3 linked regions of the Arabidopsis thaliana genome follow. The protein of the gene in region 3 interacts with the protein of the main gene of each other region in a biochemical or structural test. Each region holds a gene or a part of one and is shown on either strand. Other genes may lie near its edges.

What was found.
Region 1: the proteins of FIB2 (region 3) and PRMT1A form a complex in vitro, tested with the Arabidopsis thaliana proteins (one study listed by BioGRID).
Region 2: the proteins of FIB2 (region 3) and PRMT11 form a complex in vitro, tested with the Arabidopsis thaliana proteins (one study listed by BioGRID).

The regions. Positions count from the first base shown.
Region 1 is NC_003071.7:8,499,638-8,503,391, reverse strand, and holds the start of PRMT1A (protein arginine methyltransferase 1A), read left to right. Parts: upstream 1-2,097; 5' UTR 2,098-2,277; coding exon 2,278-2,443; exon of another isoform or gene 2,444-2,446; intron 2,447-2,543; coding exon 2,544-2,554; intron 2,555-2,656; coding exon 2,657-2,812; intron 2,813-2,883; coding exon 2,884-2,947; intron 2,948-3,035; coding exon 3,036-3,178; intron 3,179-3,268; coding exon 3,269-3,356; intron 3,357-3,456; coding exon 3,457-3,572; intron 3,573-3,672; coding exon 3,673-3,754. Other genes in the region: PLA2-BETA (phospholipase A2-beta), read right to left, coding at 1-66; AT2G19680 (Mitochondrial ATP synthase subunit G protein), read right to left, coding at 770-956, 1,346-1,527. UniProt on the Arabidopsis thaliana protein: Methylates (mono and asymmetric dimethylation) the guanidino nitrogens of arginyl residues present in a glycine and arginine-rich domain. Type I arginine methyltransferase active on both histones and non-histone proteins. Mediates the methylation of MED36A.
Region 2 is NC_003075.7:14,489,931-14,493,684, forward strand, and holds the start of PRMT11 (arginine methyltransferase 11), read left to right. Parts: upstream 1-1,691; 5' UTR 1,692-1,808; coding exon 1,809-2,046; intron 2,047-2,141; coding exon 2,142-2,152; intron 2,153-2,274; coding exon 2,275-2,430; intron 2,431-2,526; coding exon 2,527-2,590; intron 2,591-2,670; coding exon 2,671-2,813; intron 2,814-2,903; coding exon 2,904-2,991; intron 2,992-3,098; coding exon 3,099-3,214; intron 3,215-3,304; coding exon 3,305-3,455; intron 3,456-3,616; coding exon 3,617-3,754. Other genes in the region: AT4G29490 (Metallopeptidase M24 family protein), read left to right, coding at 98-139, 281-351, 546-599, 680-785, 882-950, 1,037-1,180, 1,290-1,391. UniProt on the Arabidopsis thaliana protein: Methylates (mono and asymmetric dimethylation) the guanidino nitrogens of arginyl residues present in a glycine and arginine-rich domain. Type I arginine methyltransferase active on both histones and non-histone proteins.
Region 3 is NC_003075.7:13,072,337-13,076,090, forward strand, and holds the start of FIB2 (fibrillarin 2), read left to right. Parts: upstream 1-1,753; 5' UTR 1,754-1,902; coding exon 1,903-1,921; intron 1,922-2,163; coding exon 2,164-2,504; intron 2,505-2,597; coding exon 2,598-2,693; intron 2,694-2,777; coding exon 2,778-2,855; intron 2,856-2,942; coding exon 2,943-3,119; intron 3,120-3,226; exon of another isoform or gene 3,227-3,299; intron 3,300-3,533; coding exon 3,534-3,602; intron 3,603-3,686; coding exon 3,687-3,754. UniProt on the Arabidopsis thaliana protein: S-adenosyl-L-methionine-dependent methyltransferase that has the ability to methylate both RNAs and proteins. Involved in pre-rRNA processing.

The sequences.
Region 1 (3,754 bases), on a different chromosome or scaffold from region 3:
GAGAACGACGAAGACAATGGCGAAGAAAGCTGCCGCGAAACGCATCAATGAAGTGCGAAACATCATCGTCGTCGTCTCGTAAATCGTTGTTGTCTTCTTCGCTAAGGTTTCGAAATTGTGGCTAAAGATTCCAATTGGGTCTCCTTAAGATCCCATTGGTCTTCCTGCTTTCTCGCACATACCAAAATTTTATTATTATTTTTTTGAATATTCTCTCGCTGAGATTTGAAGTTAATTCAATATTTTATCTTAAGTCCACTCAAATAAATGTATTATATATTTCTATTTTTGAATTTATCAGCTGCAAAATTAAATTTTTACTTCAACTATGATATCAGTTTCTCAAACAAAATAAAAATAACAGTTTTTTACTCAAAAATCATTTTCTTGTGAATATCATAAATTCTTCAAAATAACATTTTTTTCAAATATTCCTCTATTTTTGAAGTTATTCGACAATTAACAATCACTTAATATATTAAAAAAAATAATTCTCTGATGTTTTAAATATTGTGAACAGATATTAAACTTTGTGGATAAAATAAATATCTAAAGAAGAATCTTGTATCAAATGCATTTTTCTCAACTTATTAAGAGCTTTACCAAAATGTTTTTTTTTCCCTTAGCTCCAACACTTCTGTTTCAGGAAAAAACTGAAAATATAAATGGATTCGAGGAAGTATATATAGTTCAAGTGAGGAATCATATGGAGGGAGTTACAAGCGTCAGGAAGAATATTCCGGCGACCTGGTTGTTTGTTGTCTCAATTTCAAGGGTAGTAGCCGGTGAAAGTGAATCCTCTGCCGACGATTTCACCTGCGCAAAACCAAGCAAAGCATTCTAAGCCAAACAATGCAGCGATTCCTGCATCTTCCACCTTCAGATTCGCTCTGTTCTTCAATAAGTTCTTTGCGTAGTCTACTTCTTTCCTAAATGTTTCGTAGCGCCCGGGAATGCTGTAGTTAGTAAGAAGAGTATTAGCTATAGACGCAAGATTGCGTATCACAGAAAGCCGAACTCTTCAACTGATAGCAAAACACAATGTGGTGCTTATAATGTGTTATCTAGACAGGAAAAACAAGACAGGCACATATATTATCCTAATCAAAGGATATTTACAAGCTCAATTCCATCGAGGACAAAAACTACTAGAGGATAACAAATTCTCAAGCATATTTTTTTCAGGCAAAAAAGGCTACCTACTCGCGAGTAATGCAAATTCAACTTGCACATTTCATCAGCATTCTCTAAAGATTAATGTTTCAAAAGTATACATAAAAGATAGTTTGAGCATGGCCATTGAAAATATGTCCATGAGATAAAGAGAGAAGAAAATGGTAATGACCTAGCAAGACGAGTGTAGAGCAATTGTTTAGACAATTCACTGCACTTCTCTATAGTTGCAGGCTCTTGGATGTATTGCTTGTTCTGCTCCAACAATTGCTTGTAGTACGAATTCCCATGCTTGGCCACAAACTTTGAAGCCTGACATGCCTTTGATTGAAGTTGAACCAATTTTGATGCCATTTTTCAATACCAAAATCCTACAAAATCATAGAAACCAAGTTTAGCATTTACCAATTGAGTCTCAGAAACTAAGCCTAAACAAGAAAGATTAGCTCATCATATACAATAGCATGGTTCATTATACACCTCCACGATAGAATTCAATAACTAAAACAGGAAACTGAAAAAATGTAATTTCAGAAGCAAGGCATCCAAAAGCATAAGGCTTTTCACACATATCAAGCTAAATCACTAAAACCCTAGTCCTCAATTCCAGACTAACAAATCGAACGAATCCGAATTATGGAAAAATTAAGCAATTCAAAACCTAAAAAGCATTATCGCAGTGAAGAGATTTCAAATTAGATCTGAGACTCAAACACATAAAAAAACAAACTTTAAACCCCTAAAAACCAAAATCCAAAAGAGCGAAGAAGAATTTTAGACCAAAATATCAGAATCTTAAACGAAATAAAAGAAGAATGAATCGGTGATCGTAAGCAAGCCATACCTTTTGGCCGTGCTCACCACTCACCACTACCAGCGTCAGAATCTTTTCCTCCAAATTTCATCTACACTGCCTTATAATTACGACAATAACCGAACCGGATCGGTATAAACCAAACCGGTTTATCTGTCAAAAACAATTGAACCGGCGGCTGAAATAGAATCATACACATAACATAAAGTTCGTATCCATCCTAAAACCCTAAATCTTTTTGCTTATTCGAATCTGTTAGCCATCCAAAACCTCTCTCTTTGCCGCAAAAAATGACTAGTACGGAGAACAACAACAACGGCTCTGATGAAACTCAGACGACGAAGTTACACTTCGAGGATGCTGATGAATCAATGCACGATGGAGATGACAACAATGCCGATGTTGCTGATGACATTACCAGCGCCGATTACTACTTCGATTCTTACTCTCATTTCGGTATAAACCCTTGAACTTTCATTATATAATGTTGCTTTCTTCATGTTATCTTATTCTCTGCAAAGTGCTTACTCTGTTTCCAATTGATTGATTTTTGCAGGTATTCATGAAGTAAGTAAAGTCTCCTGCTTTTTTGTTTTGTTTTGAATCCTTTGTTCTGAAACCTAGGCAATGTGTATAACAGTTTTTCTATGGTGATGTTATTATTATTAGGAAATGTTAAAGGATGTAGTGAGGACAAAGAGTTATCAAGATGTTATTTACAAGAACAAGTTTCTTATCAAGGACAAAATTGTTCTTGATGTTGGAGCTGGAACTGGAATCTTGTCTCTCTTCTGTGCTAAAGCAGGAGCAGCTCACGTTTACGCAGTATGTCTCTTTATCTTCTCCGTTAATCAAAGTTTGGCTCTTATTGATCTGATTTGACTAATGATTCTTAGGTTGAGTGTTCTCAAATGGCTGACACAGCAAAGGAGATTGTTAAGTCGAATGGATTCTCAGATGGTATGTATGTGTTTAGAGTGTTATTCAAATGGTTTATGATCTGATGGTAGTTGGCTGAAACAAGTGTTTGTGTTTGTTTTGTTGGCAGTTATAACGGTTTTGAAAGGGAAGATTGAGGAGATCGAACTTCCAGTTCCTAAAGTGGATGTGATTATCTCTGAATGGATGGGTTACTTTCTGTTGTATGAAAATATGCTTGACACCGTCTTGTATGCTCGCAATAAATGGCTTGTAAGTGAGAGTTTTCTGTGTTCTTATGTTGATGATGGTTTCATCATAGCTTTGAACAGTTTTGTGTGCTTTTGGTTCCTTTTGGGTTAGGTTGATGGTGGAATTGTTCTACCAGATAAAGCTTCTCTTTATGTTACTGCCATTGAGGATGCTCATTATAAAGACGACAAAGTAGAGTGTGAGTAATATGAAAGATCTTGTCTTTCTTTTTGCTAACATTTATCTTCGAAACCTGATTTTTTTGCAATCGGCTTTGCTTCTTGTCGTTTCATGTACAGTTTGGGACGACGTGTATGGGTTTGACATGTCGTGCATCAAGAGAAGAGCAATTACAGAACCGCTTGTTGACACCGTTGATGGTAACCAAATCGTGACTGATAGCAAGCTGCTGAAGGTAAGTAAGATTGTGCTGTAGTAGTTAATTACATCTCCCTAATTTTCTGTAGCTAATGCATATTCCTTTTGTTGTTGGCCTTTGTTTTTTTTGACTAAAGACAATGGATATCTCTAAGATGGCTGCTGGAGATGCTTCCTTCACAGCTCCGTTTAAGCTCGTCGCACAACGAAATGACCATA
Region 2 (3,754 bases), 1.4 Mb from region 3:
GACTTGTGTTTTTAATCTTGTTTACATGAACATCATAATTTGCTGAATGTAGTTATCTAGAGAAAGTGGTCTCTAATATTTATCAATTGGTGTGCAGGTCAATGGTAAATTTACAAGTGACCAGAGTCTAATCTACAATGTAAGTGCCTTACAAGATTGGTGCAACGTGGATGTATTAGAAATGTGTGCTCTATTTTTTGTCTTCGCACAATCCAGAGTTTGGTGAGTCTCTTGAAGCTTTACATCTGAATAAGTTTCTCTGATTTTGCCTTCCTTTCAGGCTGTTCTGGATGCACATAATTCTGTAATCTCTGCGATGAAGCCAGGAGTAAACTGGGTGGATATGCACAAGTAAGTCTTACTGAGATGCTATATAGCTCTGTTCTACTATGCATGCAGATGCAGTAATTGGGATTGACAATGTAAGCGTAAACTCAGTTGCTTTGGTCCATTTTGATTTATCCTCTTGTTAGGGAGATAAATTGAAATACATCTCCATATGGTTATTCAGCTTTCTTTGTCGACTGAAGCAAATTAATGTACAGGTTAGCTGAAAAAATCATCCTTGAGTCACTGAAGAAGGGGTCCATACTCACTGGGTAATTCTCTCTGTGTTAGACATTTCAATACTCTTCTCTAAAGGTTAATTCATTCTCATGGTTTCGTTCTCTGTTCCTAGTGATGTAGATGACATGATGGTACAGCGCTTGGGTGCTGTTTTCATGCCTCATGGACTAGGTCACTTCATGGGCATCGACACTCACGATACTGGTGGCTACCCAAAGGTACATCAAATCTTTTTTCAACCCAATAGTATCATCACGTAAATAAAACCACAGTCCCTGTGTCTTACCCGTTGCTTTGATCTTTCATTCTTTTAGGGAGTGGAGAGACCAAAGAAACCTGGATTGAAGTCATTACGAACTGCAAGAGACCTACTTGAAGGAATGGTAAGGGCCGATTGTTTCAAGTAGAAATGCTTTTGGTTCTTCTCATTTATCGTCTCTGTTCATTGTCCTAATCGTATTTATGTCAGGTAATAACGGTGGAACCAGGATGCTATTTCATCAAGGCATTGCTGTTCCCAGCCATGGCAAACGCAACAACCTCTAAGTTCTTCAACCGTGAAACAATAGAGAGATTCAGAAATTTCGGAGGTGTCAGAATCGAAAGCGATTTGGTAATGTCAAATTCATATTCACTACAACGTCTACAAGTTAAAACACTCTCAAGAGTAATGTCATATACAATAATCTCATTTTGTTGTATATGTGTGATTTCTTTTTTAGGTCGTTACTGCTAATGGCTGCAAGAACATGACGAATGTTCCACGAGAGACATGGGAGATCGAAGCTGTGATGGCTGGAGGGCCTTGGCCACCGACCAAGTGATCGTAGCTACTCTTAGGCAGCTTATGGAAATTAAAAACTTGATAAGTAAAACTCAATAATACAACCTTTATTTTTGTTAATGGGAATAAGGAAAAATTGCCTGTGTTTTACTAATCTTGTACATGTAGTTTATTTTGTTTCAGTGTCTTGTTTGTGTGGTTGGATATTAAACCGATTGAATGTTCAAGTGGACAGATAAAATCTAACCGGTTTGGTGCTTGTCGACGAAAACCGAACCGGTACAGAAAATATCTTGAGCACAATTTTAGTTCTAATATAAAATTCATTAACAAGAGAGAAAAAAAAAACTTCAAATTAAAAGCTTCGTGTCTTCATAAAACCCTAATCTCGCGACTTCGTCTCTATCCCCAAAAACCCTTTCCTCTCTTCCTTCTTGTGTGAGACCGAGAAAAAAAGATGACTAAGAACAGTAACCACGACGAGAATGAGTTCATCAGCTTTGAACCAAATCAGAACACGAAGATACGCTTTGAAGATGCTGATGAAGACGAAGTTGCTGAAGGGTCTGGTGTTGCCGGCGAGGAAACTCCCCAAGATGAGTCCATGTTCGACGCCGGAGAGAGCGCCGACACCGCTGAAGTAACTGATGATACCACCAGTGCCGATTACTACTTCGATTCTTACTCTCACTTTGGTAAATTCCCTTTTTTCAAGTTCTATTTTTTTCCTTGTGCTCTTTGGTTATGAATTCTTACTAAGAGTTGAATTTGGTTCCACTTTTTTTTGCAGGAATCCATGAAGTAAGTATCGAGGACAAAGCTCAGTTTTTTTTGTTATAGTTTTTGTTCTAGAAGTTTAATGTAATTCATTGTGTTTTCTTCTGTATATATCTGATGACTGAATTGAGAATGGTATCTGACAGGAGATGTTGAAGGATGTTGTGAGAACAAAGACTTATCAGAATGTTATTTATCAGAACAAGTTTCTTATCAAGGACAAAATTGTTCTTGATGTTGGAGCTGGAACCGGAATTTTGTCTCTGTTCTGTGCCAAGGCAGGAGCTGCTCATGTCTACGCTGTATGTCTTCAATCTTTCAGTCTCTTTTTTAATAATCATAAGTAAGAAGAATCTTTTTCAATTTTGACTGATTTGATTGAGGATGTTTCTTAATAGGTTGAGTGTTCTCAAATGGCTGACATGGCAAAGGAGATTGTTAAAGCTAATGGATTTTCTGATGGTAGGTCTTTTATCCATGTTGAGTTGTATTCAAATCGATAACTTCTGTTCTGTAACATGATTTTTGTTTTATCGATGCAGTTATTACGGTATTGAAAGGGAAGATTGAGGAGATAGAGCTTCCCACTCCTAAAGTGGATGTGATTATATCGGAATGGATGGGTTACTTTTTGTTGTTTGAAAATATGTTGGACAGTGTCTTGTATGCTCGTGATAAATGGCTTGTAAGTTACAGCTCCACCTTGTTACATGAGATTCTTAGTTACCAAAACCAATTAAATGAAATCTTCTTGGTCCTGTGTTTTTATGGATAGGTTGAAGGTGGAGTTGTGCTACCAGACAAAGCCTCTCTGCATCTTACAGCCATAGAGGATTCAGAGTACAAAGAAGACAAAATCGAATGTGAGTGCATTGATTTGACACGTTTTCTCGTCTTTTTTTTTCCAACATTGATCTTGATGTCTGTTGAGATTTGCATTTTTAATTTCTTTTTTGTTGTTCTGCTACAGTTTGGAACAGTGTGTATGGTTTTGACATGTCATGTATTAAGAAAAAAGCTATGATGGAACCACTTGTTGACACAGTCGACCAAAACCAAATCGTCACCGATAGTAGGCTTCTAAAGGTATATAAGATATCATATGATGATGATTAGTAGTATCTCTTTACCTGTGTGACTAATGTTCATTTCATTATTCTTATGGGTTTGTAACAGACGATGGATATCTCAAAGATGTCCTCTGGTGATGCTTCCTTCACAGCTCCCTTTAAGCTTGTTGCACAACGCAATGACTACATCCACGCCCTTGTAGCCTACTTTGATGTATCGTTTACCATGTGCCACAAGCTGCTGGGCTTCTCAACAGGTTCAGATCTCTACAATCTTGTGCTAGCTCTGAGTATTCTATTTTTTTTTGGTGCAAAGAAATGGCATGTTATCGAATAACTTGGTTTGAAGTTTAAACATAGCACATTGTTTCATTATGATCTGAAACTTGCACTGAACAACCATATGTGTCACATGCAGGACCGAAATCCCGAGCTACACACTGGAAACAAACAGTTCTGTATCTAGAAGATGTGTTAACCATATGTGAGGGTGAGACAATCACTGGAACTATGTCCGTTTCTCCTAACAAGAAGAATCCTCGAGACATTGACATAA
Region 3 (3,754 bases):
ACTAAAATAGGAGGATTTATCTTTACTTGACGAACTATAAATTAAATATCTACTCTTTTACCTTGACTTTGAAAATTACTTTTTAAGATTGCCTTTTACAATTATGTGGAATAGCGGCACACATTTACGTAAATTTAACTTCAATTTAAAACAATGATTTATTCATTTTCATCATACAAACTTTTCAGCACATTTTCTCCTTTTTAATATAATTTTATATATTATAGATAGAGATATAGATCAAACAATGTATGACTTTAAACTTAGATTGTAAATTCTTCTTACTATGCTCGAAAATTTCATCTACGTATATAGATCTATTGTAAACCTAAGTTTAAAACGGAAATCAGTTATTGATAGTAATCTAGTAAGTTTAATCAACTATGCGTTATAACATAATGAAATCATATATACGAGCTTAGATATCTAATTCAGTTAATCAACAAGTCAACTAAACAAGGCTTCACTTTTCCACACCTCTACAGATCGAAATTATTATATATTCGAATTATGTAACTAATGTAAGTCTTGCAACGTGTGGATAGATACAAAATGGATATGTCCATAGGTATACATATTAAAAATATAACTAGAAATGGTATATTACTAACAAAATTTTACCCCCAAAGGTGGCCATCCACTAGTAGCCACATGCTTATCTAGTAGACATTGAACATGATAAAAAGTGCCAAATAAGTGGAATAATCAATGGGAATCTTCATTCCTATAAACAAAAACATTTTCAAGCCTATGACATAGCTAGCTACTCTACAACATGTATATGCCAATTGGGATATAAATGTATTAAAGCATAACCATTAATTTGACAAATAGAAATAAATAGTTCAGAATGTATAAGTTGAGAAAAGTTATAATGATTGGTAGGGAGAGACTCAAAAAGAAAAAAGGATGGGTAATGGGACCTATTTTCCCCAACATCCCACATGCACACTTCCCTCTCCATTCTCTCACATTTATTTCTTTCATTCTAATTTATCCATTCCGTGTGTAACATATTCACTAATAATCTCATCTCACTAACTCATTCATTGATTGTGATATGTTTATCTAGAATTAGTGTTTTAACACTGTGTCTACATATGATTTCCTTTTCATTGTATGTGAACATGTTAACTCACTAATCATTTTGTATTTTCGAGTTAACATGAGTCTCCACTTCGGTAGACTAAAGTAAAGATAGGTTTGAGTATAATAAAGTTTAAAATTTGCTTTAAAATCAATATTTATAAATAAGTTTTTATCATAAGTGATTTTTGTATGTTATATTGGACCTTGTATAAACAGACTACAGAAGAAAATTATTTATGAGAACTTGTAATGTTAGAGTGGACCTCGTATAAACTAATTATGTGGGCTTTTACCATAAACTATTTATGAAAATTATTATGGCCCACACCACTATAACTAAAGCCCACATATTTAGCAGCCCAGTTTCATTGTAAGAGACATGTTCGCTCTGGAACTAGAATTTTCTGGTTTTTGGGTATTTGTTTTCTTATGTGTAGAGAAATGATGGTAACGATTAAATGTTGTGTATTACAATTTACAATGGTAAGACGATTAATATATTTACACACAATTTTGTTGTTGCTGTAACACGTTAGTGTGTGTGATGATAGAATTTCATAAAGCTTTAACTACGAGGGGCAAAATGTTAATTCTAAATAGTTGACAGCAGAAAAAGATATGTATACATAATATAAGGATTAAAACGTAAATAATAATAAATAAGGCGAGTTAAATTAAAACCCTGTTAAAACCCTAGCTTGAAACACATGTATAAAAACACTTGCGAGCGCAGCTTCATCGCCATCGCCATTCTCTCTCTCATCAAAAGCTTTTCTCCTTGATTTTCGCATTCTTTAGAGTCTTAACGCAAAGATGAGACCTCCTCTAACTGGTAAGAACCCTAGCCGCCTCTTCTCTTTTCTTCATTGCTTGCTTATCAGATTAACAATGGCGAGTGACACTCTTAGCTCGTTTAGTCTTTAAAACTTTATGTCTTTAGCTGAACTGATTGTCAACTTTGTTCTTTTTTGCTTAGAACTGTATTGGGTCTGCGTTAGTTCTATCGGATATAGAGTTGATGGTTGGGTTTTATGTTAAACATGGAGTCTCTAATGAATGGTCTTTTGTGTTCAGGAAGTGGTGGTGGGTTCAGTGGTGGAAGAGGGCGTGGTGGATACAGTGGTGGTAGAGGTGACGGTGGATTCAGTGGTGGTCGAGGTGGCGGTGGTAGAGGAGGAGGAAGAGGTTTCAGCGACCGTGGTGGTCGCGGCAGAGGAAGAGGACCACCACGTGGTGGTGCTCGCGGCGGCAGAGGACCAGCTGGCCGTGGAGGCATGAAAGGAGGAAGCAAAGTGATTGTGGAACCTCACAGACACGCAGGAGTGTTCATTGCAAAGGGTAAAGAAGATGCCCTTGTTACCAAGAATTTGGTTCCTGGTGAAGCTGTCTACAACGAGAAGAGAATCTCTGTTCAGGTATTATAGAGGATTGATTAATTGATTGATGGTTTGTATTTGCACTCCTTTTGATGAATTTGTTTTTAATGGTTCTTGTGATTGAATCTGCAGAACGAAGATGGAACCAAGACTGAATACAGAGTTTGGAATCCTTTCCGTTCGAAGTTGGCTGCTGCTATTCTTGGTGGTGTTGATAACATCTGGATTGTAAGCATCAGCTTGTGTGAATCTTATTGTTGTTGTTTGCGAGACTTGGTTCATATATTGATTGTTGTTCCCGTTTCAATGTAGAAACCTGGTGCTAAAGTTCTATACCTTGGTGCTGCTTCTGGAACCACAGTCTCTCATGTGTCTGATCTTGTTGGCCCTGTAAGCAGAACCCGTCCTTTATGTTGTGATTATCAGGTTTTAGACGTGTATTGGAGTTTCTTATATATTGCCTTTGTGATCTGATAGGAGGGGTGTGTGTACGCGGTTGAGTTTTCTCATAGAAGTGGTAGAGATTTGGTGAACATGGCAAAGAAGAGAACCAATGTTATTCCAATCATCGAGGATGCTAGACACCCAGCTAAATACAGAATGCTTGTAGGCATGGTTGATGTTATCTTCTCTGATGTTGCTCAGCCAGATCAGGTTTGCTTCTTTTGTTTAACTCACAATGAATGTCTAAATATTTGCCTCAAAAAGCTTGACCCAATACCATTATATGTGTCCTTTGCTTTAAAATGGTGTTTTGATAATTGCAAATGATGATCTTACTTGGATTCCCCTTCAGATCATTATGGGTGATGCAATCTCCAAGTTTCTGATGTACTGAAAATTCTTGTTTTTGTTTTTGTTAAGCTTAATCTTATTTTACTATGTACTTGTTTTACAATTTCGTTTTTAAGAACAATACTAAATTTAAATGTCTATTATTGCTCGGTTTTGGTTCTCCTGATGTTAAACCTACTTGTTTTCTAAATGCCATTCAGCTTGTGGGTTGCTTCTAGTATACTTTATACTGTTTTGTTTATGAAATTTTCTGTGCCATTTAAAACCGTGCAGGCTAGGATCTTGGCTTTGAATGCATCATACTTCCTCAAGTCAGGAGGACACTTTGTGATCTCAATAAAGGTGGGTAGCAATCGAAACATTTATTTAATCCATGATCTCTCAAGAGAGAAAGATTAGTGAACATGTATTGTCTCATTTTTGCAGGCAAACTGTATCGACTCCACCGTTCCAGCAGAAGCTGTGTTCCAGACTGAAGTGAAGAAGCTTCAACA